4 linked regions of the Notamacropus eugenii genome follow. The protein of the gene in region 4 binds, or shares a complex with, the protein of the main gene of each other region. Links are inferred from orthologs where the notes say so. Each region holds a gene or a part of one and is shown on either strand. Other genes may lie near its edges. The genes, in order: NUP85, CETN3, NUP160 and NUP153.

Evidence for each region.
Region 1: NUP153 (region 4) and NUP85 share a complex: the UniProt entries of both Homo sapiens proteins name them as parts of the nuclear pore complex. The link is inferred for Notamacropus eugenii from reciprocal best matches to the Homo sapiens genes NUP153 and NUP85.
Region 2: NUP153 (region 4) and CETN3 share a complex: the UniProt entries of both Homo sapiens proteins name them as parts of the nuclear pore complex. The link is inferred for Notamacropus eugenii from reciprocal best matches to the Homo sapiens genes NUP153 and CETN3.
Region 3: NUP153 (region 4) and NUP160 share a complex: the UniProt entries of both Homo sapiens proteins name them as parts of the nuclear pore complex. The link is inferred for Notamacropus eugenii from reciprocal best matches to the Homo sapiens genes NUP153 and NUP160.

Annotation. Positions count from the first base shown.
Region 1 is NC_092873.1:341,248,859-341,256,475, forward strand, and holds the start of NUP85 (nuclear pore complex protein Nup85), read left to right. Parts: upstream 1-4,607; 5' UTR 4,608-5,066; coding exon 5,067-5,099; intron 5,100-5,218; exon of another isoform or gene 5,219-5,751; intron 5,752-7,617. UniProt on the Homo sapiens protein: Essential component of the nuclear pore complex (NPC) that seems to be required for NPC assembly and maintenance. As part of the NPC Nup107-160 subcomplex plays a role in RNA export and in tethering NUP96/Nup98 and NUP153 to the nucleus.
Region 2 is NC_092875.1:450,247,902-450,255,055, reverse strand, and holds the start of CETN3 (centrin-3), read right to left. Parts: upstream 3,015-7,154; 5' UTR 2,693-3,014; coding exon 2,676-2,692; intron 663-2,675; coding exon 530-662; intron 1-529. UniProt on the Homo sapiens protein: Plays a fundamental role in microtubule-organizing center structure and function. As a component of the TREX-2 complex, involved in the export of mRNAs to the cytoplasm through the nuclear pores.
Region 3 is NC_092877.1:3,199,285-3,206,936, reverse strand, and holds the start of NUP160 (nuclear pore complex protein Nup160), read right to left. Parts: upstream 3,009-7,652; 5' UTR 2,974-3,008; coding exon 2,871-2,973; intron 1,188-2,870; coding exon 1,079-1,187; intron 1-1,078. UniProt on the Homo sapiens protein: Functions as a component of the nuclear pore complex (NPC). Involved in poly(A)+ RNA transport.
Region 4 is NC_092875.1:190,369,554-190,377,553, forward strand, and holds the start of NUP153 (nuclear pore complex protein Nup153), read right to left. Parts: upstream 3,019-8,000; 5' UTR 2,950-3,018; coding exon 2,839-2,949; intron 1-2,838. UniProt on the Homo sapiens protein: Component of the nuclear pore complex (NPC), a complex required for the trafficking across the nuclear envelope. Functions as a scaffolding element in the nuclear phase of the NPC essential for normal nucleocytoplasmic transport of proteins and mRNAs.

The sequences.
Region 1 (7,617 bases), on a different chromosome or scaffold from region 4:
GCTCCTTATTTAGTTCCTGTCAACGTGCTGTACTGAGCGTTTCTTTTGGGTGTTAGGAAATAAATACCTGTTCCATAATGTATATAGAATAGCTTTTTAATTTTCCTTTTTGGGGAGATCTTAGGCACAAGTCAAAACCTGATCTTTAAGTAGTTTTCCCCAGAGGTGACTATGCTATAAGACATAATGAGCTAAAGTAGATGAGAAGAAAAAGTCTAATCTCCCTTTTAGAGTCACTCAGGTTCTTCCCATGACTAAAAGCAGTCCAGAACATGTACATAGATAGGTCTAGAGCCAAGAGGAGACCTTCATTAGAGAAGGGAGGGGCCTCAGTGCCTTTTGCTGGCTTGAGTACAGCAGTGTCTTAGTGTTCCACAAAAAAAATATGTTAATTTGTGTTTTTCTCTAAGTCAATATGCAGCTCAGGGATCCCATCTATTTGAGTTTGATACTACTGATCATGAATCATTCAGAGCTAGGTTTGGCAAACAATTTCTGTGCCCCATTTTGGGTTGCAAGTTTGCTGTGAATTCACAGTACACAATTAGCTAACATATCAGCAGAGACAAACTTTACAGGTAATGTTCCACACCCATAATCTTCCACCTCAGCAAAGAGAGGAAGGTGAATTTTCTCATCACTTTTCTTGAGCTATTGGGCTAAGCTTGGTCATTATAACTACAACACATTCAAGTTTCTAGGTCATTGCTTTGTTGAGGTGAGAGAACCATGTGTTGAGGCTTGGGGTGCCTGGGACCCCAAAATACTGACAACCCTGGGTCCTACCCAAATGAATTTGACCCAAGCCTTTTTACAGCCAATGAAAAACAAAGTTTATTAAAGATCCGTCATGTTGGGTTAACTTATGAAGGCTGGCCGTTTTTGAGGTTTGTATTAACAAGTGGGCCAGATAGAATCTCAGGTAGACAGAATCAGAACTGGATTGAATCAGAGCACCTTCATAGAGACAAGAAAGAGCTTATATACAGAAAGACTGTGCGAGGGATCTGGGGGTGGTCTAGTGGTCTAGGGTGATGGGAAGAGGGTTTAGGGAGGGTCTTGAGGAGGAGTCCAATGAGGATCTTAATGGGGTTGGAGTGACAACTGGTCAGAATCAAGACAGTAGGATTCTGATGTGATCAGGGAGGAGTTAACAGACAATGGAGGGTTTATAGAATAAAAGATGGGAAGTAACCCGAGGCAATCTGGAGGCAACCAACAAAGGAGGGCCAGGCTAGGTTAAAGGTAACCAATTTGGGTGGGAAAAGCCAGATTTTAGAGTTCAAAGAGGTTCCCAGAGACTATATTCCATTCTTTTATTATTGTTCTTTCTTTCCATTTGCATTTTTTGGAATCATTGCATTTATTTTCCAGTTTCTGCTTACTTGACTTGACATTTTTTCATGTAAATCTTCCTATGCTTCTCTGATTTTGTCCCCACAACTCAAGATACTCCATATTCATAAACTAGCTATTGAGCTGTTTCTCATTGATGGGTGTCTCTTTGGGATTATTCTTCTCACAAGTACAGATTCCAGGGGAAAGTGGGCTTCAGTTTAGATGGCATATGTGACAAAATCGAAGCTCTCAGGAATTCTTCTGCCACAGTCCTTAAGTATGGTTGAACGTTTCTTTTTTGTAAAGCCTTTAGCCTGCCTTTCCCCACCATGCTCAGGCTGACCTTGCTTCCTGAAGCAAGACATTGTCACTTCAAGGATGCCATTGGGAAGATGAGAAGTACAAAATCCTCCACTAGTCCAATCAAAGTGGGACTAGGGGCAGGAGAAAATCAAGGCCAGGGCTCTCTCTGCTCTTCCCTGGATTCCAAAAGATTCTTTCTGTGGAGTATAGCTGGAATGCTCTCTCTTCTCCATTGCTGGGGACTTGAATCTCTCAAGCAAAAACTGGCTCAGTATTTTATAGATGGCCCATAGGACATAACTAAGTTTCCTCAATCAATCAGAATACATTTCTTGCTATATTTGGAGAGATATCCAGGCCTTCTTTACATAAATGAGATGCGTTCCCACCTGTTAAATGTAATAGGGGTATAGCATCTTATTACTTTAGGTGGGAGTGGAGTGGATTTATTCAAATGTTTATTCAATAATTTATTCAAATTATGTATTGATCTCCCCACCTTCACTCTGCTCTTCACTCAGAGGCCCCTTAACTCTCAGCACCCTAGAAGAGCACCTGGAAAAATTACTTAAAGTTTAGGTTTGGCTCATGTCTAGGGTCTCTCTGAAACACAGGATCCCTCTCCCTTTTTAAAAGAAATTCTAGGATGAGCAAACCCACCTGGTTGGGCTCGGTTTCTCCCCAAAAAGGGGAAGGTTAAAAGGTCCTGGAGATAAAATATTAATGAGATCTAGGACAGCTATTTATTTCCTCTACACAAAAGAAAGGCTAAAAACAAAAGACTCACAAGTGTCCTTAACGAGGAAGGAGTAATGATAGTGGCTGGAGCAATTTAATGTTTGCAAAGGTCTTTACAAACTTTAGCTTATTTTGCCCTCCTCACAACCTGAAGAGGTTGGTGCTATTTATCATTGCCATTTTACAGATGCGGGACCTGTGGCTGGTAAGGGTTAAGTGACTTGCCCAGGGTCAGGAAGTTTATAAGTTTCTGAGGCCAGTTTTGAACTCAAGACTGAGTTCCAGGGTTCTGTCCACTGTGTCCACCTAGCTCCCTCAGTATTACTGTTATGTTCTCCTGTGAGACTTGAACAAAATATAAAACATTTTATGGGTCTGCTGAATAGACATTTTATCTTTCTCTTAGGCTCTGCCCTTTTCAAACAAATCTCTCCAGGTCCACTTCTACTGGCAAGTCAGGCCAGTCATTCTCTGATGTAGAAACTCCTGCTGCAGGTCAGCTCAGAGAGACCTCAGTATGATCTCAGACTCTGGAATCCACACAAGATTGCCTTGGAGGCAGGCCATGTACATCTTGGGCAAATGGAAAAGCTAGTCAGGAACTTCAAGGTTAAGTTCAGCTGGCCTCATTGCCATATATTAGCAGATGTCAGGTTGTCAGAGCTGATGAAAGGGGCTACCCTTTCTTTTTCCCTTCAGGGTAGTCTAAAGAGGAAAAGCACTTATCACCCATAAGGTGGAAAAGAGAGACAGAGAGCAAAATACCTCCTGGCTTATTCGCCAGTCCTAGCTGATACAGGTTTGATGTCTTTCAACCACTGGGAGTGAGAGACCATGAGTCTGCTTTGTCATTCCAAAAAGACAAACTCCAGAGAGGAGTACATTTTCCTAGAAGTGTTAAGGGATGCAATCCCCATCACGTAACAAGATGTTTAGCTTTGGCCATAACATCCTGCAAATTCCCTTCTAATCTTCATGTACCTTCACAATTAAAAAAAATATATCATTGCAGATGCTGTTTTCTAACTGAATAAAGTCACTCACATTGTGTTTAGTGATCAGATTTATTCGAGGTGTCACTTATATCCTGGTTTGGGGTTGGTAACCTCTTTCCCATCAAGGGCTCCCAACTCTGGGTTCATTATGCTATCAATCTAGAGTTGTACCAACTCTGGGGAAAATCTCTTAAACAAAGCCTAGTTTTGGCTCTTGTCCAGGTTCTGCCCAGAAGGGATTAGACTCCTACAGAAATGCTCAATGTACGAAATAGATTATGTACAGGACCGCTATTTATTTCCTCCACAACAAAAGAAATGCTTAAAACACAAAAGACTCATAAGCACTCACTGAAAAATATTTAAAACATGAAACAATAATCCATCAGTTCTATTACACTCTTCTGGGAGATAGGAAAAACTTACAGGACAGTTGTGGAACAGATAAACATTTCATTTTCAGCCCAACCTACACTGTCTGAACAACTCACTCATAGCCCCTGTCTTCTGGTCAGCCAGCCCACCTGGCTCCAACCTCCTAGACATGGTTTTCTTCTCCAAAAGGGGCATGACTACCAAGCAGAACCTCCCACTGGAATATCAGCACCCAGACTTCTCCATGACTCTGGGCTGCTCCAGCTCAGTCGGCGGCAGACAGGTGCCTTCTCCAGCTCATCTTACAAAAGAGCAAAGTGGGCAAACTGGGTTAAGTGACTTGTCCAGGGTCACACAGCTAATAAGGGTCTGAGAAGAAATATGAGTCTTCCCGACTCCAGGACTCTATCCACTGTGCCTCAACAACCACAAAGATCCCTCCAAGTAAAATAAAGTGAATGCACCGAGGGCATGGTGGTGGGGGATTTTCAAGTTCCCTGGGACAGCTGGAGCGACTTTAAATCAATTTAAAACCAGTGCTAGGGATAAGCAGTAGAGTTGGAACCTGGAGTCAGGAAGACCTGGGTTCAAATTCAGCCTCAGACATGTAAAAGCTGCGTGCCCGTCACAAGTCACTGAGCCTGCTGGCCTCAGTTTCTTCTTCTGTAAAATGGGGTAACAGCAGCCCCTACCTCGGGGTAGCTGTGAGCCAGTCCTTCCTGCCATCCTCATCCTCACTGGAGCTAGTTTCTACTGCGTGGCAGCGTCTGCCTTCATGGGTGCAGTCACAGCGGCAGTTTCCACCTCCGCGGATGCCTCCTGCACGGGGGGCACACCGCCTGCCGGCGGGGTGCGTGCGGAGAGGGCCCAGCACGGGCTAACCCGCGGGGATGGCTCCAGCTCGCCACAGGTCCAGACTGCCTCTCCACCCGCAGCCGCAGGGGGGCGCAACCTGCCCGCAGATCCCAGGCTTCCCAACCCCAACGAAGACCCGACGAAGAACTCTCCCGCCACCTGGGGAGAGCCGGGCTGCCCACAGTTATGCCCGGTGTCAGTGAGACGGATGGAAGCACGGACGTGATGCTTCAGCATCGGCGATTTCGGAGGGGCGGCTTCCAAGCCCCAAGTGGGGAATTATCTTTAAGGGTGGCTGATGTGAGCATGCGCACGTATGCGCTCAAATCCCGAGCGCCCTGACAGGCACTTCCGCGGCCAGCCGGGCGCCGGAGCGGGGTCCTTCGTAGGCGCGAGATACGGGGCCCGGGTGCTTGTGGCGGCCCTCGAGTCCCTGGTGCTTGCGTTGACCGGACCGCCAACATGGAGGAGCTGGATGGTGAACCCACGCTCACGGTAGGTTCCGTGCCGAGGGACCAGCAGGGCCAGGGACAGCCGCGGGTGGTCCAGGCGCGTTCCCGCCTTCCGTCGGAGGTCGCTGCCCCGCCCCTCCAGAGGTCACGGCCCGGCTCGGGCGCGCGCTGCAGCCTGGCAGGGCCGGGTCGTGAGAGGCGCCGGGTTGCATTTCCTTTGTTTCCCGCTCGCGCCTTGGCCACGCCCACGCACGTGGGTGTTCCTCCCTCCCGCGCCCTAGGCGGGCCTCCTGCCCTCTCTCTCCCTCCCCTCCCCCTCCCCTTCTCACCTGAGAAACGCCGCTCGGGTTTTCCCGGGGAGTCCTCGGGGGTTTTCTTGGTTGTCGCGCTGGCTGCGTCGCGTGGTGGGCGGGGTGCCGGCGGTGGAGTCCGGGGGGCCTGGGTTCGAGCACGGCCTCGTCCCTTTCCCGTTTCTGTGATCCTGGTGGAGTCCCTTAGCTAGTCTGTAAATGGGGGTAATGACATCAGCCGGCGCTTCGCGGGGTCGGGGTCGCCTTGTAAAGCGCTTTGCAAACCCCGGGCCGGTCACTCCGCAGCAGGGGGACATCCTGGGGCCCGCCCCCCGGGGTGTGGGCAGGAGCGGAGGAGAGCCGTGAAGTGCTGGGTCCGAGCGGGGGGCCGCTCGTCCTCCCCGGGTAAGTGCGGCGTGCGCGTTAGCTGTCGTTGCTACTGCTGTTTAAGCGATGGCTCCTCAGCATCGTTATTATCGACAGCCGTCCCCGCTATCTGTTATAGTAGAGTGAATGACTGACATGGGAATGCTTCACGTGGTTGAGTGATTGCTCGCCATCCCAGGGCAGGGGGGGAGTGGGAAGGGAGGGTGCTAGAATTAGACAGTTAGAACCGCAGTGCTTGCCCTTTACCACACAGTCGCACCATCTCTCACGGGCCCCTCCGCACTTGTGTGACCTGCGTGGCCGCCACCAGCGCTGGGGCTTCTCCCGCCTGCTGAACCGGACCCCATTCTCCTGAACCTGGTCATTCAGGGGCCTCTAGTGGTGCAGTGGACAGAGCACCAGTGCAGGCGTCAGGAGGGCCTGAGTGCAAATCTCACCTCAGACACTGGACACGCCACTAGCGGTGTGACCTTGGGCAAGTCACTTAACCCCAGCTGCCTCATCCTGGGTCATCTCCAGCCATCCTGATGAATATCAGGTCACTGGATTCAGGTGGCTCTGGAGGAGAAGTGAGGCTGGTGACCTGCACAGCCTTCCCTCACTCAAAACAAATTCAAGTGCAAGTCATGTCATCATTTCTCTGATGGCATGATCTTCTTGGGCAACGAAGGACGAACACACGTATATTTAGTCTCAGAGAAAATCAGAGATGTTTTCACAGTGGCTGTGGAAAGTACTGGAGAAACCCTTGTCTCCTCTGACTTTTTCTTTGTACTTTGGTTTAACTCCATTTTGAAGCAGGGACCAGGACCAGGTTTTTGTTTAGTGCTGCACTGAGTATCTGGTGACTATGCCATCAGCGAGTTTGAGGTGAGACAGTAGTATACGGTCATCCTGCAAGCTTCCCCCACTCTGGAACCTCACCCTGTTTTCCTCATTATATTTCTGAGCTGTTGGCATGACCCTTCTGCTGAAAGGTCATACTTGACATATCTCTGGTCATGGCCATTCAGCTTCTCTAAGAAAGAGAATGTATGGGTCGAACTAGATGTCCTTGAAACTCACGTCCACTCAATAGATTCTGTGAATCACTGCTGAAGCTAATTAGGCAGAAAAAAGGATACACGTAGGAAGGAGTGCATGTTGTTATTTCTATAAATAGTAATAGAATAAAGCAATTAAAAAAAAAAAGTCACACCCCACATAGATACCAGCTGATAATCTGCAGAGTTCATGACAATCTTGAAATGACTGAAATAATGCTACTTAAGAGTAATACTTATTTTTTAAACTGTATCTTATTGATGCCTTTTGCCTTTGCACCAGTCATTTCCAACCTTCTCTAGATTGCACCTCTTAATTGTGGATACTCCAGGATCCTGTCCTGGGCCCACTTCTTGTCTCTTGCTTGGTGACCTCAGCAGTTTTCATGAGTTTAATTACCATTTACAAATGATTCCTAAATTCTACATATCCTGCCTGAGTATCTCCTGAGCATTGCTCAGATATCTCTGTTGGATATTTCAAACTAGGTTGCCTATAGACATCTTAAACTCAACTTCTCCAAAACAACTCGTTTTCTTTTCCCTCAGTCTCACCCAAGTTCAGTTCTCCTGATCATCTCTATTTCTATTGCGCATCCCCTTCCTTCTAGTCACTCAGATTTTCCATCTCGGTGTTGTTCTGAAGTACTCATTCTCTCTCATCACACATATAGTCACTCAGTTGACACATCTTGCCATTTCTGTGTCCATGACATCCTTTGCTTCTGACCTGATCTTTGTATTCACATAAACACCAATGCAATTCGAACCTACATCACCTTTCACTGCCATGGCCTCTTAATTGGTCTTCTTACACAACTGCCAAGAGATTTTCCTAAAA
Region 2 (7,154 bases), about 260 Mb from region 4:
TGCAATTGTGTGTGTGTGTGTGTGTGTGTGTGTGTGTGTGTGTGATCACTTTCACACTTCAAAAGCAGAATATACAAGAGTTTGGGCCTAATGAAGAGGAGAGACTTTGAAAGCAAAAACCCTTTAACCTCCAAATAGAATACTTAAATGCTAAATAAATACCTGCAGATTAACAGTTTAAGATCCTCTAATATTATTACTGAAAAGTATGTACCTTTCACAGTAATGATCTTTTATAATTTAAAAGGCTGTTAATTTGTATTTCCCCAAGGCCTAGCATATTGCCTGGTATACAGAAGGTGTAACACTAACTGCCTTCTGAATGACTAACCTAACTATATAAAAATTATTTTCTAAAAAAAAAGAAAAAAGTGTTAGGATACCATTAAATAACAACCTGGCACATTACTGCAAAAGCTATACCGTAACAGTTGAGTTCCAAAAACAGATTAAGTATAAAATTAACTAGAAAGCAGTTTTCAGGTCACTGCCAACAGATACAAACCAACTTTAAAAGAATTACTTTTACCTTCAGTTCATGGTAGTCTATTGCTTCATCTTTGTCTGTATCAAATAACTCAAAAGCATCTTTTATTTCTTGTTTCTGTTCTTCAGACAGCTCTCGTCTTTTTTTCCTTTTTGTTTTGTCTACAAGCTCATTTCTATGACATGAAAAAAGAGAAAATAGAAAATCATGTAGTCCACTTTTATTTTCTATTTGCATTCATCAATAATCAAAATAAGACTGGAGGGAAAACTAATCAAATAAATATCAGGATGATTTTCCAAATTTCTACAACTTTGAGAGAACAAAGATAGAACAAATTACCTTAAGGACTTAAGGACATAACATCCCTGCCATCAACTAATTCAGTCTCCCAAAACAAAAGAGCCAAGAAAACTGTAGCTCACAGATACCATACTAAGAGAAAGTCATTTTCCTTCTTTCCTTTAACACTTTTGCAAATGAAGCAATGCCTGAGAGCTCATATGATACAGTAACTTTTCTGAAGCCATGTAAAAAACTGTCCAAACTTAAACTTTCATTACTGTCTTCTGTAGCATTTATATCAGCATAAAACTAACTCTAAGGATAATCAAAAGTAACCTAATTAGAAACTGACTTACTTTTGCTTGTGGCTAAAATAACTCCTACTTTACCTAAGCAACATAATTTAAAGGGATCCATGAAATCAACTAACACCAAATATTTTGGCATACTAGCCTGCAAAGTTACACATCTTAAACATTTGTTTTTCCTTGAATAACAAAAATCAACTAAAATGATATTCGTCTTAAACACAGGTCCATGTTACATGTACAAAACGCAAATAAAACCTATGATATCCAATTGAAGAACAGTGTCTTCTTCTGGAAAGGCTGACATGACAAAAAGGAAACTGAATTTATCTTTTTACAGAAATGAAGTATCAAAAAGCCTAAACTTTTTAAATTGTCATTTAAAATGTCTAAAATCCAAGTAAATTGGAATGCAGCATTATAACACACAAGTTTTCAAAAGGTAAAGAATTTTCAATAAAAACTCTAAGACAGCTCACTTAACACAGCTTCTAATCCTATACTACAAATAATTTTGTTATGACTTCTACAGTGTAGGTGTGACTACAATGAAATCTCCCAGGAAGATCAGAAGATAGCATTACCTTCAGAATTAGGGCCTGTAAAATTTCTCCTTGACTTAAGAGGTATATAATTCTGTTTTACTGACACCCCACATCAAAGGGTGTCTGAGCACAGCTCTGAAGAATAACTGACAAAATCAATGGAAACCTTGGATGGGGGAGGATGATGTGTGCAGGGGGGAAAGAGACAGAGAAAGGCAAAGCCAGAGCGGAGATCCGAGTGAGGACATCGGAGGAAACGTTCGTTTTAATAAAGAAATCAAATTTCTGGAGTAAATGACGCTAAGGAGCTCTGCCACTTAAAAAAACCAGCCTTTGTAACTCTAGTGCCTCGCATAGAGAAGGAGAAAGGCAGACATGGTCAAGAAGCTTGAATTTTTCAGAAAAGAACCCAAGTTTAAAACTCCCGTGGAAATCACTTCGCCTCTCTAGATCTTCCATCTTCATAAGTAAAGGATAAACTGGGTGATTTCCAGCGTCCCTTTTCAACAAAAGGCCTGGGGAGAGGGCATGAACTGACCGACGTTCGGATAACTCTCCGTATTCCTGGTTTATTTTCTTCTGAAAGGGCCCACTGGCTTCCCCACATTACCCCCTGGGTACATCCCCCTCCGATCAGACATGGACGCCACACGTTAAGAATCTGCGTTCTCTCTCTGTAATGGCATCAACGGAATGGGGAAGGGGGGAGTGAGAGGAGGCCAAGAATAACAACCAAGCGGGAAGGAGACGCGCAGACGGCGCCAGGTCGGCCCGAGGCACGGGAGGGAGGACGTATGTGCCGGGGGCGTCTCCCAGGCGAGCAGCGGAGGAGGCCCAGGCCCGAGTTCTCGCGATACTTGCGCCCCGCCGCAGCTCGACCTGGGTCCCGGGCTCCGGCCCCGCCTGCAGCTTCTCCTCAGCCTGCGGGGCAAGGTGGCCCGGCTTCTCCCCGCCCCTCCTCCCTCCCCGCCCCTCCCCCCCAGGCCCGCCGGTGGGGCCCCGCTCCGGGGCGGGAGGGGGAGGGGGCTGGGCCGCCCCCTCTTTACCGACCTCAGAGCTAAACTCATTTTCTCCTCGGACAGAGGCCTTAGCCACGGACGAGATCCCCCCCCGCCCCGGGCAGCGCCGCTTCCTCCGGCCCTTGCACACCACTCCAGGCGCCGCAGCCGCCTCCCCCGGCCTCGATTCGGGTCCGTCTGGGCGAGAGTCGAACTAAACTCTGGTTCTCATTGGACGCGGCCGTGCGTCAATCCTCAGTATTTCCCGGCTTTCCCGTCCGCACCCGCCTCCCTCCCCCGAGAGATTGGTCAGATTGCGGGCTGGACGCGTCTTCCCGAAACTCTTTGCGGGGACGGTCAGAACGGGGAGGGGGAGGGGCGGGAAGCGGTTACCGTTGGAGCAGGAGGGGGCGGAGCGCTCGCGACGGCAACAGGGAGCATGCGCGAGGCGCCTCTAGCGCGAGGCGTGGAACGTGCCTGAAAAACAGCCAGAGGGGGAGGGAAAGAGGGAGATCGTGGGCTCCCCTGGGCTGTGCTTGGCGTTCAGCCTCCAGTGAGAGGGCCGTGCCACCCCTTAGCGCCGAGGCCGCCGTGTGTCAGAGGCCACCACGCGGGAGAGGCCGCCACGCACGGGAAGCCGCCGTGTGTCAGAGGCCACCACGCGGGAGAGGCCGCCGCGCGGGAGAGGCCACTGTGTGGGAGAGGCCGCCACGCACGGGAGGCCGCCGCGCGGGAGAGGCCGCCACGCACGGGAGGCCGCCACGCACGGGAGGCCGCCACGCGGGAGAGGCCACTGTGTGGGAGAGACCGCCACGCACCGGAGAGGCCCCCGTGTCTCCCGTGCCTCACGAGTCGTTTGAGCCGTGCCCGGCCCCACTGGGGCTCCTCTCGGCAGAGACACTGCAGCGCCCCCCACGCTTCCGCTTTGGGCGATAATCGGGATTAGGAGACTCACTGAGGGTCGCACAGGTGGGAAGGGTCCGAGGCTGCATTTGAACTCCAGGCCCGTGGCTGTGTCCACCGAGCCACCGCCTTGTCTATGCAAACGGACCCCAAAGCGGGTTTCAGTTCAGCTCGATGCGACAAGCTTGAAGTCTATACCCACTATGGCCAGACTGCAGGGAGAAGTATATGGGGCGTGGACTGGATCGAAAAGACCACGGACCCTGCTTACCTTTTCTATATAGTGCACCTTAGCTGATAAAAAAATGAGGAGATCTACTTGCTTATGAATTACATACAAGCGCTGCTGTACTAATAATTATGTGCAGTATAAAACTTAGGCGGAAATAAGTGTTTTAGAGGATGAGATAAAGATGGTCCTAGAGCAGAGGTGGGGACCTTGAAGACACCTGAGCTTCTTGGTCCAGGGGTGCAGCTTTTTGACTGAGTCCAAGTTTGACAGAACAAATCCTTTTATTAAGGGGGTTTGTTCTGTGAAGTTTGGATTCAGTCAGAGGGCTAGGCTTGAGGACCTAGAGGGCCACCTGTGGCCTTGAAGCTTCAGGTTCCCCATCCCTGTCCTGGAGTCATTAGAAAGCCACTGTAGCTTATTGAGTAGAAAAGTGATGAGCTTTGGGGAAAGCATTGTCAGCTGTAAGGAGGATGGAATGAGCGGAGACCTAAAATGGGAGAAAAACTAGCAGGCTATTGCAATAGTCTAGGCAGAAGGTGATGAGGGTTTGAACCAGAATGGTAATATCAGAGAGAAGGTGTGGAAATGAGAGATTTGGAGACAGGACAACACTAAAAGATTGATTGAAGGAACTGATCCTGGTTAGCCTGGGGTAAACCCTTGAGGGATAAAATAGCTGGCTTAAAATGTTTGAAGAGCTGTCATGTGTAAGAGAGATTAGTTCATATTTATTTCACTTAAGAGTTTCTAGCACTGTCGGTTGGTTGGTTGTTCTTTGTTCTCAGAAGAGGACCAAAATAACATCACTGTGTTAGAGTCAAGTTACAGTGTGTCCAACGGTGGCCGATCAGACCAGTACAAGCTCAGAATGGCCCTGCGGCAGATCAGGAACAAATAGTCCATGTGAACATTTGGAGTGGATACTCTTAAGTTTGCACATCTCACATTTCTTTTGAGCTATGTCAATTCTACTTTGCTCTTAGAGCATAGCACCTTCTGTGTCAGTGTCTCCCATGTCTCAATCAATTCCAAAGATCTTCAGAGAGAACTTGAGTGTCCTGGAATCGCTTCTGCTGGTCATTGTGTGAACACTCACTCTATATGACTTCTCCATAAAATAGTCTTTTTGGCAAAAATGCTTTTGGCATTCGAACAACATGGCCAGCCCGTTGGAGTTGCACTGTCTGCAGTAGAGTTTGAATGCTTTGCAGTTTAGTTTGAGAAAGGACCTCAGTGTTCAGTACCTTCTCCTGCCATGTATCTTCAGAATCTTCCTAAGACAATTCAAATGGAAGCAATTCAGTTTCCTGGCATGGTACTGGTTTACTGTCCAGGTTTTACAGGCATACAGCAAGGAAGTCAGCACAAAGGATTCTATGGAACTTCAGTTTGGTAGGCAGTCTAATACCTTTTCTCTCCCACACTTTCCTTTGGAGCTTCCCAAACACTGAGCTAGCCCTGGCAATGAACGAGGCAATCTCATCATCTATACGTACATCTGCAATGTTAATTAGAGTGAGCGAGCTTATCCACAGCATTCAGAATTTCTCCATTTGCTGTAGCTGATGGTTCCGTGTATGAATGATGTGCTGACTGGTGCAGCACCTGTGCTTTCTTGGTATTAATTGTGAGGCCAAAATTAGCACAAGCAGCAGAAAATCAATGTATTTCAGAGGTTGCATTGAGTGCACGATCATCTGCAAACAAAAAAGTCGTGCACCAACACTCCCTCTACTTTGGTCTTGGCTTGTATCTTTTTCAAGTTGAAAAATTTTCCATCAGTGCTGGTGATTGACCATGACCCTGCGTTTGTCTTTATTGAAAGCGTTTGACAACACTGATGAAAACATCATGCCAAAAAACATGGGAGCAACCACACAGCTTTGTTTCATTCCATTGGTGACTAGGAAAGCACAAGAACATTGTCCGTTATCCAGAACCCAGATAAGTGCGCCATCATGAAACTGATGTACAATACTGATGAAATTCTCTGGGCAGCCAAATTTTGACATAATTTTCTATAAACCCTCATAACTGACAGTATCAAAGACCTTGGTCAGATCAAATTGATGAATGTTGTATACAGACCTCTGTTGTATTCCTGGTATTTCTCCTGGAGTTGTAGGGCAGCAAACAACATATAAACCATACCCCAGCCCTTTCTGAAGCCAGCTGGCTTCATATGGTAGATAACCATCTTCCAGGTGAAGGATTAGCCTATTAAATAGGACTCTGGCAAGAATCTTGCCAACAATTACTAAGAGATCTGAGAGCCGCACTGTGATTGTCACAGGACAGTCTTTCCTTTACCTTTATAGAAATGGATGATGGAGGCATCCTTGAACTGAGGAATAACCTTCTCTTGCTGTATAATGTGGAAAATTTCAGCCAGGTTTTGTTTGCTCAGTGGTCCAACCACCACCAGCACCCCTCAACGCACCTCGTAAACCCCAGCTAGAATAGAATCAGCACCAGGTGCTTCGTCACAGGAAAGCAGCCTAAAGGTATTCAAAATGTCCTCCTCAGTTGGAGATTTGTCTAGAGAGAAGTTGACTTCACCATTGATTGCTAGTCTGTTGAGAACACTTTGGAGCTTCCCAAACACTGAGCTAGCCCTGGCAATGAATGAGGCAATCTCATCATCTATATGTACATCTGCGATGTTTATTAGAGTAAGTGAGCTTATCCACAACATTCAGAATTTCTCCATTTGCTGTAGCTGATGGTTCCATGTATGAATGATGTGGTTCTGACTGGTGAAGCACCTGTGCTTTCTTGGTATTAATTAATTAGAACAAGCAGCAGAAAATCAATCTATACTTTTTTTCCATCTCAGCTTCAGAGGCTGCACTGAGTGAACAATCATCTGCAAACAAAAAAAATCATGCACCAACACTTGACAGTATCAAAGACCTTGGTCAGATCAAATTGATGAATGTTGTATACAGACCTCTGTTCTATTCCTGGTATGATTTAAGGATTATATCCTTGTCAGTAATCAATATGGCTCCATCAGCACTGAGTAGTTGTGATGCACCATATGTCTGGCCCATAAATAGCCTTCAGGATATCTTTAAAGTGCTTTGGGTTGAAACTAAACTATTTCATCTACCTTGTTACTGAACTGAGAATCCTTCCTGCATCTCGCTAAAGCTTCACTTGTGCTCTACTTTTGATGCAGTTAAATGATGCCTTCTTAGAGATGGATGAACTATCCTGCTGGTAAAATTTGTAGAGTTCTCGTTTTTCATTTAGCAGCTTCTGAATTTCCCCATTGTTTTCTGTCAAACCAACCTTGATGTTTGTGAGTGTTCTGACCCAAGTGAGTAAATGCAGTGCTGTATACCAAATCTCTAAGCTTTCCACTCCTTTTCTGCTCTACCATTGCCAACCATG
Region 3 (7,652 bases), on a different chromosome or scaffold from region 4:
AAGTATGCTCATGGGTTTCCCAGGGCTCCACTCAGGCCACCTTTCCTCTGCATCTAAAAGCTGACCTATACAATAGACCTGCTCACAAATCTTTCATGGCTTCATAGTTCAAAGTTTGCTGCCCGACATTCAAGGCCCTCCACAGACTTTCCAGTTTCCTATAATACCCATCCCCTTCCCCAGCCAGACTTTTAATTTTTATTCTATCTCCAAGCACAAGTTTTCATACCTTAATGGCTTTATAGGCTATTCCCCAAATTGCTATGTTTTTCCTCTCCTTTATCTGCTGCATTTCCGCCCACCCCTTACAGCTCCACCTGATGACTTCCTTGAGGAAGTCTTCCCTGATCAAGACCTGGTACAGAATGATTGTCACCTTCACATCTCACTTGGAACTTCTCAGAGCAGAGCTAATGCACCTACCATGGAAGACTGTATTCTAAGGTGTCTTTCTTAGGTTCCTACTAGACCAGACTGCACAACTTGGCAGTAGGTAGGGGCCAAAATTAAAATAGGCTCAACTTCTTCTAGTCACAGATAGGTTCATACTAGAGACAGATCCATGATGGTTGGTTGCTGCGAGTCATACGACAAACAGGAGAGTGTGCAGTGACAATTCTACATTTTTCGAGGGCTGCCTGAAATCTTTTGATGGACTGCAAACAGACCTATATTAGACTGTAAACTTTGTGAGGAAAGATTAATATCTTAACTATGGATATTTTCCCCAGAACCTATCACCATGTTCTATGTTACTGTAGAGTACAACATATTTAATGTCGGTCATTTTTATTTCCTACTGCCTGGGACCATAACTTTATGGTGAGAAAGGTCATTCATTAGAGATTATATAGTCCAACACCCTCATTTTACAGATGTGGAAACTGAGTTCCAGAGATGTTAAATAATGGGACCAAAATCCAGAATTTCTTGTTGTTACATTTGTTCTCCATATAACCTAGAAATCAGATTTTTTTAAAGTCTCTTCCTATTCTCACAAACCATTATTCCCTTAGGTACGATCATCCCCTCATACTAGAGTACATGGCCCAGACCTCCTTCCTTCTGTAACACTCACCAATGAATGAACCTGTTTCTGGTGACGGAGAACAACTTGCTGCTTTCCAAGTAGTAGAAGCCGCCCGCGCTCTCCACATACTTCACAGCTCCGGACAAACCCACGAGTTCTGCAAAGGGAACATCGGGGCAGTTCAGCACATGTCAGAGCTGGAAGGGACTCTGAAGCACTGAGTGTCAGGTGACCTTAGAGCCTAGAACATCAGAGCTGGAGAGGGCTTTGGAACGCAGAATGTTAGAGCTGGAAGGGACTCTGAAGCACTGAATGTCAGGCGACTTTAGAGCCTAGAACATCAGAGCTGGAGAGGGCTTCAGAACGCAGAATGTTAGAGCTGGAAGGGACTCTGAAGCACTGAATGTCAGGCGACTTTAGAGCCTAGAACATCAGAGCTGGAGAGGGCTTCAGAACGCAGAATGTTAGAGCTGAAGGGACTCTGAAGCACTGAATGTCAGGCGACTTTAGAGCCTAGAACATCAGAGCTGGAGAGGGCTTCAGAACGCAGAATGTTAGAGCTGGAAGGGACTCTGAAGCACTGAATGTCAGGCGACTTTAGAGCCTAGAACATCAGAGCTGGAGAGGGCTTCAGAACGCAGAATGTTAGAGCTGGAAGGGACTCTGAAGCACTGAATGTCAGGCGACTTTAGAGCCTAGAACATCAGAGCTGGAGAGGGCTTCAGAACGCAGAATGTTAGAGCTGGAAGGGACTCTGAAGCACTGAATGTCAGGCGACTTTAGAGCCTAGAACATCAGAGCTGGAGAGGGCTTCAGAACGCAGAATGTTAGAGCTGGAAGGGACTCTGAAGCACTGAATGTCAGGCGACTTTAGAGCCTAGAACATCAGAGCTGGAGAGGGCTTCGGAACGCAGAATGTTAGAGCTGGAAGGGACTCTGAAGCACTGAATGTCAGGCGACTTTAGAGCCTAGAACATCAGAGCTGGAGAGGGCTTCAGAACGCAGAATGTTAGAGCTGGAAGGTTTCTTGGAATATCGAATGTCACGGTAGGGGAAACTTTAGAACGTGGACTGAAGGAGCTGGAGATTTAGAACGCAGCCCCTGAGGGGTGGGAGAGGACTGGAGCACTGGCCCCTAGGGGCTGGAGGGCCTTAGAACATAGAAGGTGAGGGGCAGGGGGGCCCTAAAACGCGGCCCCTGAGGAGCGGGGGGGGGGGGGGGGGGGGGGGGCCCTTAGAACGCAGCCCCTGAGGGGCGGGGGGGGGGGGGGCCTAGAACGCGGCCCCTGAGGGGTGGGGGGGGGCCTTAGAACGCAGCCCCTGAGGAGCGCGGGGGGGGGGGGCCTTAGAACGCGGCCCCTGAGGGGTGGGGGGGGCCTTAGAACGCAGCCCCTGAGGAGCGCGGGGGGGGGGGGGGCCTTAGAACGCGGCCCCTGAGGGGCGCGGGGGGGCCTTAGAACGCGGCCCCCCAGCGGCGCGGGGGGGGGGCCTAGAACGCGGCCCCTGAGGGGCGCGGGGGGGGGGGCCTTAGAACGCGGCCCCTGAGGGGTGGGGGGGGCCTAGAACGCGGCCCCTGAGGGGTGGGGGGGGCCTTAGAACGCAGCCCCTGAGGAGCGCGGGGGGGGGGGCCTTAGAACGCGGCCCCTGAGGGGCGCGGGGGGGGGGGGGGGCCTAGAACGCGGCCCCCCAGCGGCGCGGGGCCTCAGCACAGCCGGTCCAGGCCTCTCACAGCCCGGGCTGTCACAGCGCGGCCCGCTCCGGTGCCTGGGCCCAAGCCCCCCGGCACGCACGGGGACACTGAGGCACGGAGAGGGCCGGGGTCCCGGGGCTCGCCCAGTACCGGAGCCGCAGACGGTGAAGTCCCGGAAGCGCCGCTGTGTCTCCCGCTCGGCGCCGCACAGCTCCACGAAACTCTTCTCTAACGCTCCCGCCGCCGCCATCATCCCGCCGCCGCAAGGCCCGACGGGACGCGCGGGCCCACCCCTCGGCCTGGCGTCACTTCCGGCGGCGCCGCGAGGCCCTGCGAAGCCTCGAGCTCGGCCAGACTCGGCGCCTGGCGGGCCCGGCGGGGCGCAGGAAAGGATGGAGCTTCGCGTCCCCGGCCAGAGCCTCTCTCGAGGCCATTTCCGCCGGCCTCCCCAGGGGGCGGGGCCGGAGCTGGGGCATTTCCTTGCGCAGGCGCAGAACTGATGGGGGTGGTGCTGCGTCTTGGTAGGGCGGGAGGGCAGGAAGCTGAGGCGCATTATGGCAGACTTAGAGCTACCCGGACCCGACAGGCCGCGTAGCCGCCGCAGTCTCACTTTACAGATGCAGAAGCTCAGGGCCAGCGAAGTTAAGTGACTTGCCCACGGTCCCACACGTGCTTAGCCCCAGCGGTGGGAGGTGAATCCGGGCGCCGCCGGCGGGCCCAGGGCATAGCGCCCTCCTGGAGTCGGGAGGACCTGAGTTCCAGTTCCGCTTCAGACGATTAGCTGCGTGACCCTGGGCGAGTCGCTTCACCCTGCTTGCCTCAGTTTCCCAGCTGTCCAATGAGCTGGAGAAGAAAATGGCCAACCCCTGCAGAATCTCTCAGGAAAACCCCAAATGAGGTCGCAAGGAGTGGGGTATGACTGAGCACGAACGGCAGACGCTCCCCAGGGGGGCGTCCTGGAGGAAGTGGGGCCGGCCAGAGAAAATGCTGGGTCTTGTCTGGTCTCTGGATGGAGGAGGAAGGTGTGGGAAGATTGACTGTCTCTGACCTTTGTATCCTCAGGGCTTAGCACCTCGTAGGCTCTTCATAAATGCTTCTTGACTTCTTGAGAGAAAATTGGAAAGTGATCATTTTTTAGGGGTTCTTTTCAGACTTCATAATTTTCTTCTCTGTGCATTCTCTTGGTCTTTATGGCTACTTTTTACACGTGTGTCTGTTTTAGGGGCTTTCCTTGGGTGCTCGGTATTATTCTGAAACAGACGTTTATGGAATGCCAGCTGTATGCAGAGCACTCTACGGGGCCAGGGGAGGTGCTATGCTATACACTATGTAAATCAAAGCTGTTTGGTTGTAACCTTAGTCAGGTTACAATGTATCCAAATGTGTCTGATCAGACTCATATGAGCTCCGAATGCCCTAGCGCAGGTGGGACACACATAGGAACATTTGGACTGGGTTCTTGAGTTTGCATCTCCAGTTTCTTTTGGGCTGCTTCAATTCTGCTTTGCTCAAAGTGCCTAGAACCTCTGATGAGGGCACACCATGCTGGGTGGTCCTGTGTCAGCATCTCGTAGTCATATAAGCAATTCCAAAGTTCTTCAGAGACATCTTGAGAGCGTCCTTCTGACCTCCGTGTAAGAGCTTGCCCTGTGTGAGTTCTCTGTAAAATAGAATTTTGGCATTTGAACAACGTGGTCAGTCCATCATAGTTGTGCTCTCTGCGGTACATTTGAATCTTTGGTAGTTTAGTTTGAAAAAGGACCTTGGTGTCTGGTACCTTATCCCACCGAGGTGATCTTCAGAACCTAAGACAATTCAAATCGAAGCAATTCAGTTTCCTGGCATGGCACTGGTATAATGGCTCTGTAGACCTTCAGTCTGATCTACAATGAATACTTCTCCTCTCTCACACTTTCCTTTGGAGCCCCTGTAAGAGCAAGCAAAGTAGGATTTTTGTTGTTTTCTTTTTGGAGTTCAGTTTCCTAGGCTCAGGCTAAATTGAGAACATCTGAATGCTCAATCTCCTTTGAACCCCTCTAGTTCACAGCTGTGCTGAGTTACATGGGTTGTGATGCCTGCTGGCTCTGAGCTTATTAGTTGAAAACTATATAAACTGGGAGGTTGGTATTTTTGTGGGGGGGGGGGGTTAGTTTATAGAAGGACCTTTGGATTCTTTGGACGGGACTGAGTAGCTGTTTGTTAAGAACCCATGGACTACTCAAAGGTTTGTGTTCACCCATCTGGTGGTGTATGTAGGTGGTTGTCTTACTTTGTTCAGACAGAGAGAACTGTGTCTGTTGAATCTTTGTGCTAATTCTCTGCTTATACTTACTCTGTATTTTCTCCACATTCAGGGTGCTAACCTTTCCCCTGAACTAGTGAATGACATATATGCTTAATTAAAGAAAGATTGTTAAAGCTGTCTTTCCTGTATAAAGCATATCAAAGAACCTGTGCTAGCAGGTCATTCTGGATATGCTAGGGTGCTTGGTAATACAGCCTTTCGAACTCTGAGCTAGCTCTGGCAATGGGTGTGTCAACTTCAGTGTCAATGTGTACATCCCTAGAAAGTATATTGACAAGGTAATCAAACTTATTTATCCACATCATTCAAAACTCCATTTGCTGTAGCCGATGATTCCACCTATGGGTGGTATGGTGCTGGCTGATGGAGTACTTGTGTTTTCTTGGTGTTGGTTGTTAGGCCAAAATTAGCACAAGGAGCAAAAGCACACATTACCAGAGCTAGCTCAGTGTTTGGGAGGTTCCAGAGTACTGGTGGAACCATTGCTCATTTATGATATGTAGAATATTGTATAGTAAGTACAGTGCTTGTGAGGTCTGGAGGGGAAGGTGGTTAGTGAAAGAAGGATAAGCCTCCATGGAAGGAAATAAGCTCCTTAGTAAGATTTTACAATACACTCCACTGGGGCAGGGATTTTTTAAACTTGTTATTTCTCTCAGCCCAGCAAAGTGTAGACAACAGGAGCTTAATGCAAGCTTCTTTTGAATTTAATTCCTCTGTGGTAATGAAATGAATACAGGACTTTGGGTTCCTTGAATTGTAGATGGTTAGTAATAGCATTTCTTTAACATTTGATCCGATCCATTTTGAGGTTTTTGATCAATTGGTATTTATGACCCTCCTTCTAAATATCAGGCACTACACTAAGAGCTGAGGATACAAAGAAGTCAAAGACAATGCCTACCCACAGAAAGCTTAGTCTAATGGGACAGACAACAAACGTACAAACAGGCTGTATAGAGAATCTCTATCCCAAAACAATTTGAAGTAACGAGTTTTGAACAAGGAAAAGCTCATAATACTTGGTGTCCCAAAATCTTAGTACACTTTTAAGCTATTAAAGTTATATGTTAAACATCCTGCATGATAGAATACAGTTTGGGGATCAACATCATAGAACAGGGGTGGGGAACCCTGTCCTAGAACAATAGGATTTTATTGTCTATTTATTAAAACTGCTTGTATTCCTCCCCTAGCCATCCAAAGGCCAAAAGGCTTCTTTCCTCTAACCAGTCCCCTAATAATTACACTGGATTAGCAAAATCACTTATGAAGCCCATTATTGATGTGCTAGGGACTACGCTGGGAAGGCAAACACAAGCCGAAACAGTCAGAAAGTTAATCACCTGCTGCATGCCAGGCGCCTTGCTAAGTGCTGGGAATTCGAAGAAAGACAAGACAGCCCCTGCTCATGATGGGATGCCAACTGCTATGTGGAAATAAGCTCCATATAGGATGAATGAAAGATGGGGGAGCGGAAAAGCGGGGCTTTTACTTTTTCACACTTTTTAATTTATGGAATAAAAAGCATTTATGTAACACAGCATAATAAAAAGATGATTGCCCATGAAACTGCAGCTCTGTTATGCATGGCTTGTTGTTCCTTTTAAATTTAGAATAAAGTTAGGTAAATTTCTTTTTTCTTCTTTTCCTTCCCTCCCTCCCTCTTTGCCCTAAGGATGGCTACCATTAGACACAAATAGGTATATATGTATATATACATATACATATATGTAAAATTTTTCTATACATACTTTTATTTATCAGTTCTTTCTCTGGATGTAGATAGTATCTTTCTTCATGTATCCTCTAGCGCTAATTTGGATATTTATCACAGTCAAGATGACTTATTCACTTAAAGCTGTTCTTAAAACAATGTTGCTTTTCCTATAGACAATATCCTCTTGGTTCTACTCCTTTCACTTTCCATTATTTTATGCAAGTCTTTCCATGTTTTTCTAAGATCATTGAGCTCCTTCTTTCTTGTAGCACAGTAATAGTCCATCACAATCATAAACCACAACTTGTTCAGCCAGTTCCCAGTTGGTAGGTATCCCTGCAGTTTCCAGTTAGCTGGTACTTAAGAAAGCCAGGGAAACAAAGAGGTAGAGATGAGGAGGGAGAGCATCCCATGCATATGGGAAATTGAGGGAAAATGCCAACAGGGGGGAAATGGAGTTTCTGTACAAGGTGGAGAAGTTGTCCAGAGAGTCTGAGGCTGCTTGAGAGCGTGGCTGGTGTGAACACTTCCTCAGATGGAGGTTTTGGGGAGAAATCCTTTCAGAATGCGGAAGAAACTGTCCTTAGAGGATTCTTAGCACCGATCCATGTATGTGATGGGGAACCAATGATCATAACTAGACAGGAGGTACTTTTTATTCTAAGTTTCATTCTCACTCTCAATCCATTTCCTCAAGGGTTTTGGGCTGGAGAAGTATTTACTTCATAATATTTTCCATTGATCTTAAAGAGGACCTTTAAAATATACTTTTGAATCAGTGAGAAGGTCCCTTAGTACTAGAGATTGCCATTGATATTGTCAACCTGAATTTAAGGCTAATATTGCAAAGTAGAAGTCTTTAATCAGAGTGAGCTGCAGCCCAGGATGCCACACAGCAAGTGCTGGG
Region 4 (8,000 bases):
GTTCACCTATGTAACATCTTTCTCAGTACCACAGTTTTATTTTATCCACACAAGTCCTTCTTCTGATCAAAACACAATCTAAGTATTCCTCTCCCTAGTATATAGAACAGGAGGCTAAGGCTCAATTTCAGAGATTTATCTATGCTCAAACTGTGAGTTAGAGGCCTCTGAGTGGGGATTAAAATTCAGACTCCCTGACAAAGCACACTGGTCTTCCAAGATATTTGGCAATCAGGCATTTTCTGCAAATGCCTAAGGGGAAAAAACTAGAGGTAAGAGGAATTCCATAGACCTGTGAATCTTTAATTAGAAAGAAGCAATAATAATTAGAAATAAACTTTCTAATTGGTAATATCCCCAAATTCCTGGTTTCTATAAACCTGTGTTTAGGAAAATAATCTGTAGGTTTTTCAATCATAAGAAATGTTATAAAACATAAGCTTAGCATTCCAAATCATTTGAGACGTAGGATAGTATATAGATAGTACAGGACTTAGAGTTCAGCAAGTCACAACCTCTGAATTTGTTTCCTCCTCTGTAAAATGGGTAAAATCTATTCCACCACCTTCTAGTACTATCCCGTCAGAGCTGTCATGAAGAAACTAAAGTAAATAACATCACATACATTTGTGTGAATGTGTGAAATGTGTATTTCTTTGAAAATGTTAAAGCAATATATAAATACCAATTATTTTTATTATCTGGAATAATAATCTGATTATTACTCTGATCACTTCAACAGTAGGTACTGATACCATGAGTCATTTAAAATTTCATGTAATCAACTCACTAGTATATTAAATAGCAAATTACTTACTAAACCAACTTAATTAACTTCCTTTCAAGCAAAAAAAAAAAGAATTTATCTTGGTAACTTTTTATGGATCAACTAGCTGTGATTTCTAAGATAGCTTAGTTACCCTATTATTTTCTTTTACAAAGGTTGTCCAATAACTGCCAACTATATATATATATGTACATGTGTGTATATATATATATATATATATGTATATATATATATATATATATATATATATATATATAAAATGGCTATATTATTTGTCACTCTCCCCCACAAATGGCAAAGAACCCAAGCTTTTAAATATCCTCATCAAAATGAAAATCTGTATACCAGAAATCAAAACCACATGTCTTGATCACCTCTGGATAACTACCAATTCCAAACTCCAAAACAAGTAAAGGCAGAGGAAAGGCCAACCCATATAGGACACATATAAAAAGAGGGATTTTCAAAATGCACCCACTGCCAGTGTCACTATAACTCTTTCCCCAGAAGGTGATCCACGTGGACCTGGGTTCTTATGAGATCTAAATTAGACTTTTAAAAGAATGGGGACTGAAGTACAAATAAAACAAATACATGAAACAAAATCATCACTCCCAAGAGATGTGGGGGTAGAAAGTGAGCCATTGCACCAAATTTATTCAGTCTTTTCCTCTACTTCCCTTTCTATTCTAGGAGTCTTGACAAGACATAATGAACCCGAGATAATTTCCGATTTTACCCTAATATCCAACCCCTCCCATACACCCCTCTTCCCTCTACCCCAAAAAAAGGAAGCAAGGTCTGGAAATACAAACAACCTTTAACTAATTCACTCAGAATACCCCAAACCAAGATACATATCAGGAGATGGAGTGGCTGGCAGTAGCCCTACCACATATACATTTATTTCAACACTAGCCTGCTGAATTCACCCCATCTCTGGTTCCAGAGGTCCCCACCCCACACATGCCCCAGTTATATGGGGATGTGTGTGCACGAGTGCACATGTGAGGGAAGATATGCATTTTGTGTAGAAGTAGATGTAGGTGGGTGTGTAAGGGAAGAGGCATGTATGAAGTGGAAGATGTGGGTGTGCATGTGTAAAGGAAGAAAGGTGTGTATGAGGGAATGAGTGTGTGGTAGAGATGTAATGTGTAGGGAGTCAGTTAAGTACCCTGTATAATGGAAGATGAGACTGAGTGTGGGTGTATGTGTTTGTGTATAAGGGGGAGGTAAGTGTGTTTTAAGGGAAGATGGATGTGTAAGGGAAGATAGATAGGTTTTGGTTGGGGGTATGCTGAGTGAAGTCAAGGTATGGGGGCATGTATCTTGGGAAAGACAGATGTGTGTTGGGTAAGTTGAGGGACACAGTTGGGGGACAGTGTGTGATGGGGGTGTTGTGGAAGATAAGGGCACAGATGTGGTGTGTGTTGGGGAAGACAGACGTGTATTGGGGAAGAGGGGCGCACAGCGGGAGGGAGGAGTTGGGGGACCTCTGGTGCGCGAAGCCAGATGTGTGTCATGGAAGAAGCCACAAGTACCCTGAAGAAGAAGAGGGCACAGTAGGGGGTGTATTGTGTGGTGGGGGGGTGTATCGGAGGAAGACAGAACTGTACTGGGGAACGGGGGCATGGTGAGACTGTGTGTTGGACAAGACAGAAATGTCCTGGAGAAAAGGGGGAATTGGGGGGACAGTATTGGGTAAGAGCAGAGTACAGTGGGAGCGCCGGGAAGCGGGGCGCACGGAGGTGGGGGGGGGCACAATGGGCTGTGCGTTGGGCAGCGTGGATGCTACGGTAGCAATGGCACGTGTAGACGTGTGTGAGAGGAGGCGGACACTGCGCGCCCAGGGGGAGCGGGGGAGGAATGTTGCGGGGATGGCGTTGGTGGGGGCAGTGCGGGGGTCCCGGGTGAGGGGGGCCCCGGCGGTTTGGGTGGTGGCTGGGAAGGGCTGGGGGCGCCCAACGTGGGGGTCGGGTCTGAGCCCCGGGCTCAGCTAGGCCGCGGCCGCCCGGCAGCCAGGCCGGGCCCGCCCCGAAGCCCGTCCTTACCTGCTGTTGCTGCTGCTGCCGTCCCCGCGGGTAGGGCTTGGTCGGGCCCTGGTGGCAGCGCCGCGTCCGGATCTTGCCGCCGCCGCCCCCTCCTCCTGCTCCCGAGGCCATGGCGGAGTCTCGGCCTCTTCCCGCTCCGGGGCGGGGAAGGGAGGGAGGGAGGGCGGGGAGGGGCGGGAGAGGCGGCGGCGGCGGCGGCGGCCTCAGCGGCCCCCCCACCCCCCGGCCCCGGCCCAAGAGCCCGCCCGGCCCGCTCGCCGGGGCACGGGCACCAGAGGGAGCGCGAGGCCCGGCCGGCGACGGGGGAGAGAGAGAGAGGGCGCGCGCGGGAGGAGGAGGGAGGAAGAGAAGGGAGGGGGGAGGGAAGAGGAAGAGGAGAAAGAGAAGGGGAGGAGGAGGTGGAGAAGGGGCGGCGGCGCCTGCTCCGGGCCCCGCAGCCCGCCCGCCTGCCCGCCCGCCCGCCTGCGGGCACCCGCCTCTGTGCGTGTCACGGTCTCTATGGAGATCTCCGGGGGGAAGCCGGCGCGCGCGCGGGCTCTCGACTCTCGCGCAGCTCCCGGCGCCGCTAGGGCCTAACGCGACCGCCGGGCGGTGATCCTTTCGCTGTTTCCGCCGCCTCAGCCGCTGCTGCCTGTGCCTCCCGCCCACCCCTCCCCCCCGCGCCTGGCGCCCGCCCCGCCGCCGCCGTCGCCGTCGTCGTAGTCTTCTCAGCCGCCGCCGTCGCTACCGTCGCTGCCGCTTTTGCTCCTATTGCTGCTGCAGCGACCGCCGCCGTCGCGAGCCAAAGTGGCGTCACTCTCTCGCGCCGGGTGCGGCGCGTCATCGATCCGCGCCCGAACCCGAGGGGCGGGGTGAGCGAGAGGAGAAGGGAAAGAAGGTTGAACCGGCCCGCGCCGCGCGTAGGGCTGACGGGAAATAGAGTCCGGCCGAGGAACGCCGAGTTTGGAGGTGGGGGAGGGAAGGAGGCCGGGTTTGTTGGGACAAAATGAGGCGCCAGCTTCTTGCGTGTTCTCCATGGGGCTCGGATTCAGCAGAAGCGCGCACGTGCTTTTTACTGGGAGCGGGGTCCTCCCCCCCTCCCAGACTCTCCCTTTTACTCTCCTTGCCCCCGGGGGACTTTCCCGACACGTTACCGCCGGGGGCCTCCCCACTTCTGAGCGTGGGCCTAAAGGGCGCTGGAAGGAAGCAGCCCCCGCGTCCGTCATCCCCTGCCGGCCTCTGACGTACCTCCGTCTGGTAACCTCCCCTCCTTTGGCCTGGTTCATGAAGTGCAGGGGATGGATGAGATCCGAGTTGGGGGGGCGGGGTTCAGAGTTGTTCGGGACTATTTGGCACTCTAGAGATCCTTCTTCGGAACAGTGTTTTTAAACGCGTAAAATAAGAAGCGTAGGACTGGGAAGGACCAGAAAGTTAAAATAGGTACAAAATGTGTGTTTAAGATTTCGACCCCGGCCTCTTCCAGCTGTGATCACTTTCACCGTCTCCTAAAAGTGGACAGCTTATTTACGGCCCTCCGGGTCGGCGGCCGGAGCGATCCTTACGGGGCTTTAGCTTAAGTCTTAAAGCGTAACCAACGTTGACATTGACAGGCTTCCGGGCTCACCGTTCGTCTGCAGGACCAGGCCAGCCCTAGCAGGATCTGCGTCCCTACCATCAGAGAAACTGATGTTCGCTGTCACGCGTGGAACCGCCCCTCCAAGGCCAGACAGAACTGAAAAGCGAAGAGCTTGTCCTCAGTGCTCTCCCACGCCTTTATCTTCACCTTTCTCGCTGATGTCAGGAGAAATCCAATTTTTGAAGGAGCAAAATTTTTTCTCATTTTTCCGGAAGGCAAAGTAACTTAACTGAGGTTGTACAAAGATTATTTTGTAAGTAGAGCGATGAAGAAATTTTTAAGGAAGGAAGAAACGTTGTGATTTGAAAATCACAGAAGTTGCCTCCTGAACCATTGAATTTCCTTCATTAAAAACATTTCTTAAAGTTATGCAACAAAAAGAAATACCTGGGAGAGGTAATATCTTCAAGCCCTTGCTTTTTCTTTGTCAGTATTAGTGAAGACAAAGGCAAAGAAAGGTAAAATCTGTGGGACAGAGGAGGAAAACAACTTATTGTTTTGAAAACACTTTTCTGTGAAATAGTACCTGCAACATTATGATTCAGATAGGTTTTTGTGAGCTAATCTGGTACTAAATTCTTAGCACCAAACGGCTGATTTACAAAATTTTGGAACACCATTTGTTTGCAAGTTGGGGACTCCCAGCAGTGAGAATTTGTGTTATGAAAAATTATCCTTGATGATAAATACTGTCTTCTAGCTTTCTGTGGAAAATTATCTTCATTTTGGAGATGAAATCCATTTAACTTATAACTAAAGTGAAATCCATTTATTTAACTTTGAGTGTAATGCGGCATAATTAATGATTTGCAGGCAGATGTTCTGTTTCTATTTAGTATCAAAATCACATGACAGTGGAAGGAAATGGAATTGTAAGTGTGTTACTTAAATAGTATCCAGTCAGCTAAATGGCCTTTTGTGGACTGGTCTGGGAATCTGACCATATGACCATTTATGAGAAAATGTTAGAAGTTCCAACTCAGAACTTCAGGCCTTGAGAAACTACCCCCATCTCCTAGTGAGAAGATATAAGTATTTAGATATTGGGAAGATTCAGCCCCAAAATATCTTCCATAGGCTTCCTTAGTATAGTGCAAGCTAAGATGGGGAATGAGCTACTCATGTGGTAGCAGAAAGGCATCCTCCAAAGAGGCTACCATGTATAAGGGATATGATATTATCAGGTTTTTCTTATCTTTTTTTTTTTTTTAATGTCAGGGACTGTCTCTAACCTGTTATAGGAGTCAGAAAATTTTGTCCTATAAAAGGCTAGGTAGTAAATATTTTGGGCTTTGTGGGCTAGTAGGTAAAATTGAGGATATTATGTAGGTACTTGTATAACAAGAGAGAAAACTAATTTCCACAGATTCTTTTGATGAAATTCAAAATGTAATAGTCAGTAAACACTTATTTAAGTTCCTACTGTGTGCAAGGCACAGTGCTAAACCCTAGGGATAAGAGGCAAAAGAGTCCCTACCCTCAGGGTACTCACCCTCTAATGGGGACTATAACAAATTCAAGCAAACTATATATTGGATGATCCCCAGAGGGAAGGCCCAAGAATTAAGAGGATTTGAGAGAAGCTTTATGAAGAAGATGGGATTTTAGATGGGGATTAAAGAAAGTCAGGGAAATCAGGAGGTAGAAATGAGAGGGGAGAGCATTCCAGGCATGGAGGAGAGGGAGAATGCCCAGAACCAAGAGATGATGTGTTCTTTTTTGTGGAACAGCAAGGAGACCAGTGTCACTGGATGGAAGGGTACATATAGGGGAATAAGGTATAAGAAGACTGGAAAGGTAGGAGGGGACTAGGTTATGAAGAGCTTTGAATGCCAAACAAAGCATTTTGTATTTGATCCTGGAAGTAATAGGGAACTATTGAAGATTATTGCTGGAGGGGAGAGGGGGTGGGGGCAGGGGGAAGAGGGGCAGTGATGTGGATGGACCTGTGTTTTAGGAAAATCACTTTGGTGGTTAAAAAATGGATTGCAGTGGGGAAAGACTTGAGGCAAGCAGACCCACCAATAGCCTATTACAAGAGTCCAGGCACAAGGTGATGAGGACCTTTACTAGAATGGTGATGGTGTCAGAGGAGAGAAGGGAGCTCATTAGAGACATGTTCAAAGGTGAAATTGACAGGCCTTGGCAAAGGACTGGATATGGAGGTAGGGAGTGGGGCAAGGATGTTGAGGATGGCATCTAAGTTGGGAGTCTGAAGGCCTGGGAGGATGATTTTGCCCTCTTCATTAATAGGGAAGGTTAGAGGGAGGAGGTTTTAGGGAAAAAAATAAGTTCTGTTTTGGACATGTATAATATAACTTTTTTTTTTGGTAATATGGTTCTACTAATGAGAAGAACGGAATTCCTTTTTTGGGGGGTGAGGGGGATAACATTTAGTTTAATTTGAGTTCATAGTATTCCCTATCATCAGAATTGCTTGCAAATGCTGATTCATAATCAGATTTTATTTATTTCATCTTGAAAATGTCTTTCTACCCTAAATACTGATATTAATCCACAAACATATGATTTTGATGGAGTATATTCATCAGTTGAAAGGCATTTATAGAATTTCACTAGATTCTTCGTTAGATAAAGAACCTTATTATGTCATTACATTACAGAGTACTCACTTCAGTTGAAGGTTAGGTGGAAGCTCCTCAGTTACTCAGTTAAATGGATGTTAAAATATGGAAATTTCTTTCACAATTGCATTGAAGTCTGAAAAGCACTGCTGGAACTGTAGTCTGAGGCAAGGAAAATATAACTGCTACAAACTTGTGTGAGAATAGAGATCTCACTTCTTGTTTTTACTTTTGACAGCACAGGAAATATTTTTAAAAGTTGACATTACTTGTGATTCAAACAATAATAACTGTCATTAAATTGACCTTACAACAATATAAGTTTCACCTGATAGGCTCTATTTGCCTTGTAATTATTCATTAATAAGCTTTATGAAGTCTGCAGCAAAAGCTAATTTCCAAAGTCATTCAGTGTTCAATAATAGTTGTTGAGGGCAGTTCTCTTTAAGAAATATTTCAATCTCAGCCTGAGGTCCAAAAAAAGTCATCATATGATGATATGCATGGTACTCGAAACACTATTGAATAGTAATTGTCACTGCAATTGGTAGTATGCTGAGCAATGTAAATCGATGAGAGCACAATCATCCCTTTTCTCACTGCTCACTTCTGCAATTGTAGCACAAAAGCAGCCATAGACAATTGTCAACAAGTAGGCATGGCTGCGTTCCACTACATCTTAATTTTAAGATGTAAAAACTATTCTTAACTCACAAGCTGACCAGAAATAGACAGTAAGCTAGGTTTGGCTTGTGGCCATAGTTTGCTGATTCCTAACTTATAGCCAATGAAAATGGAATACAGAAACTAATTGCAGATTATTACCAGTTATATGAAAAAATGCTCCAAATCACTGATAAGAGAAACAACCCTGCAAATTGGCAAAGATGCCAAAAGATGTCAATAGTTGATACAGGAGAGATTATGGGAAGATAGGCACACTTGTGTATTTTTGGTGGTAT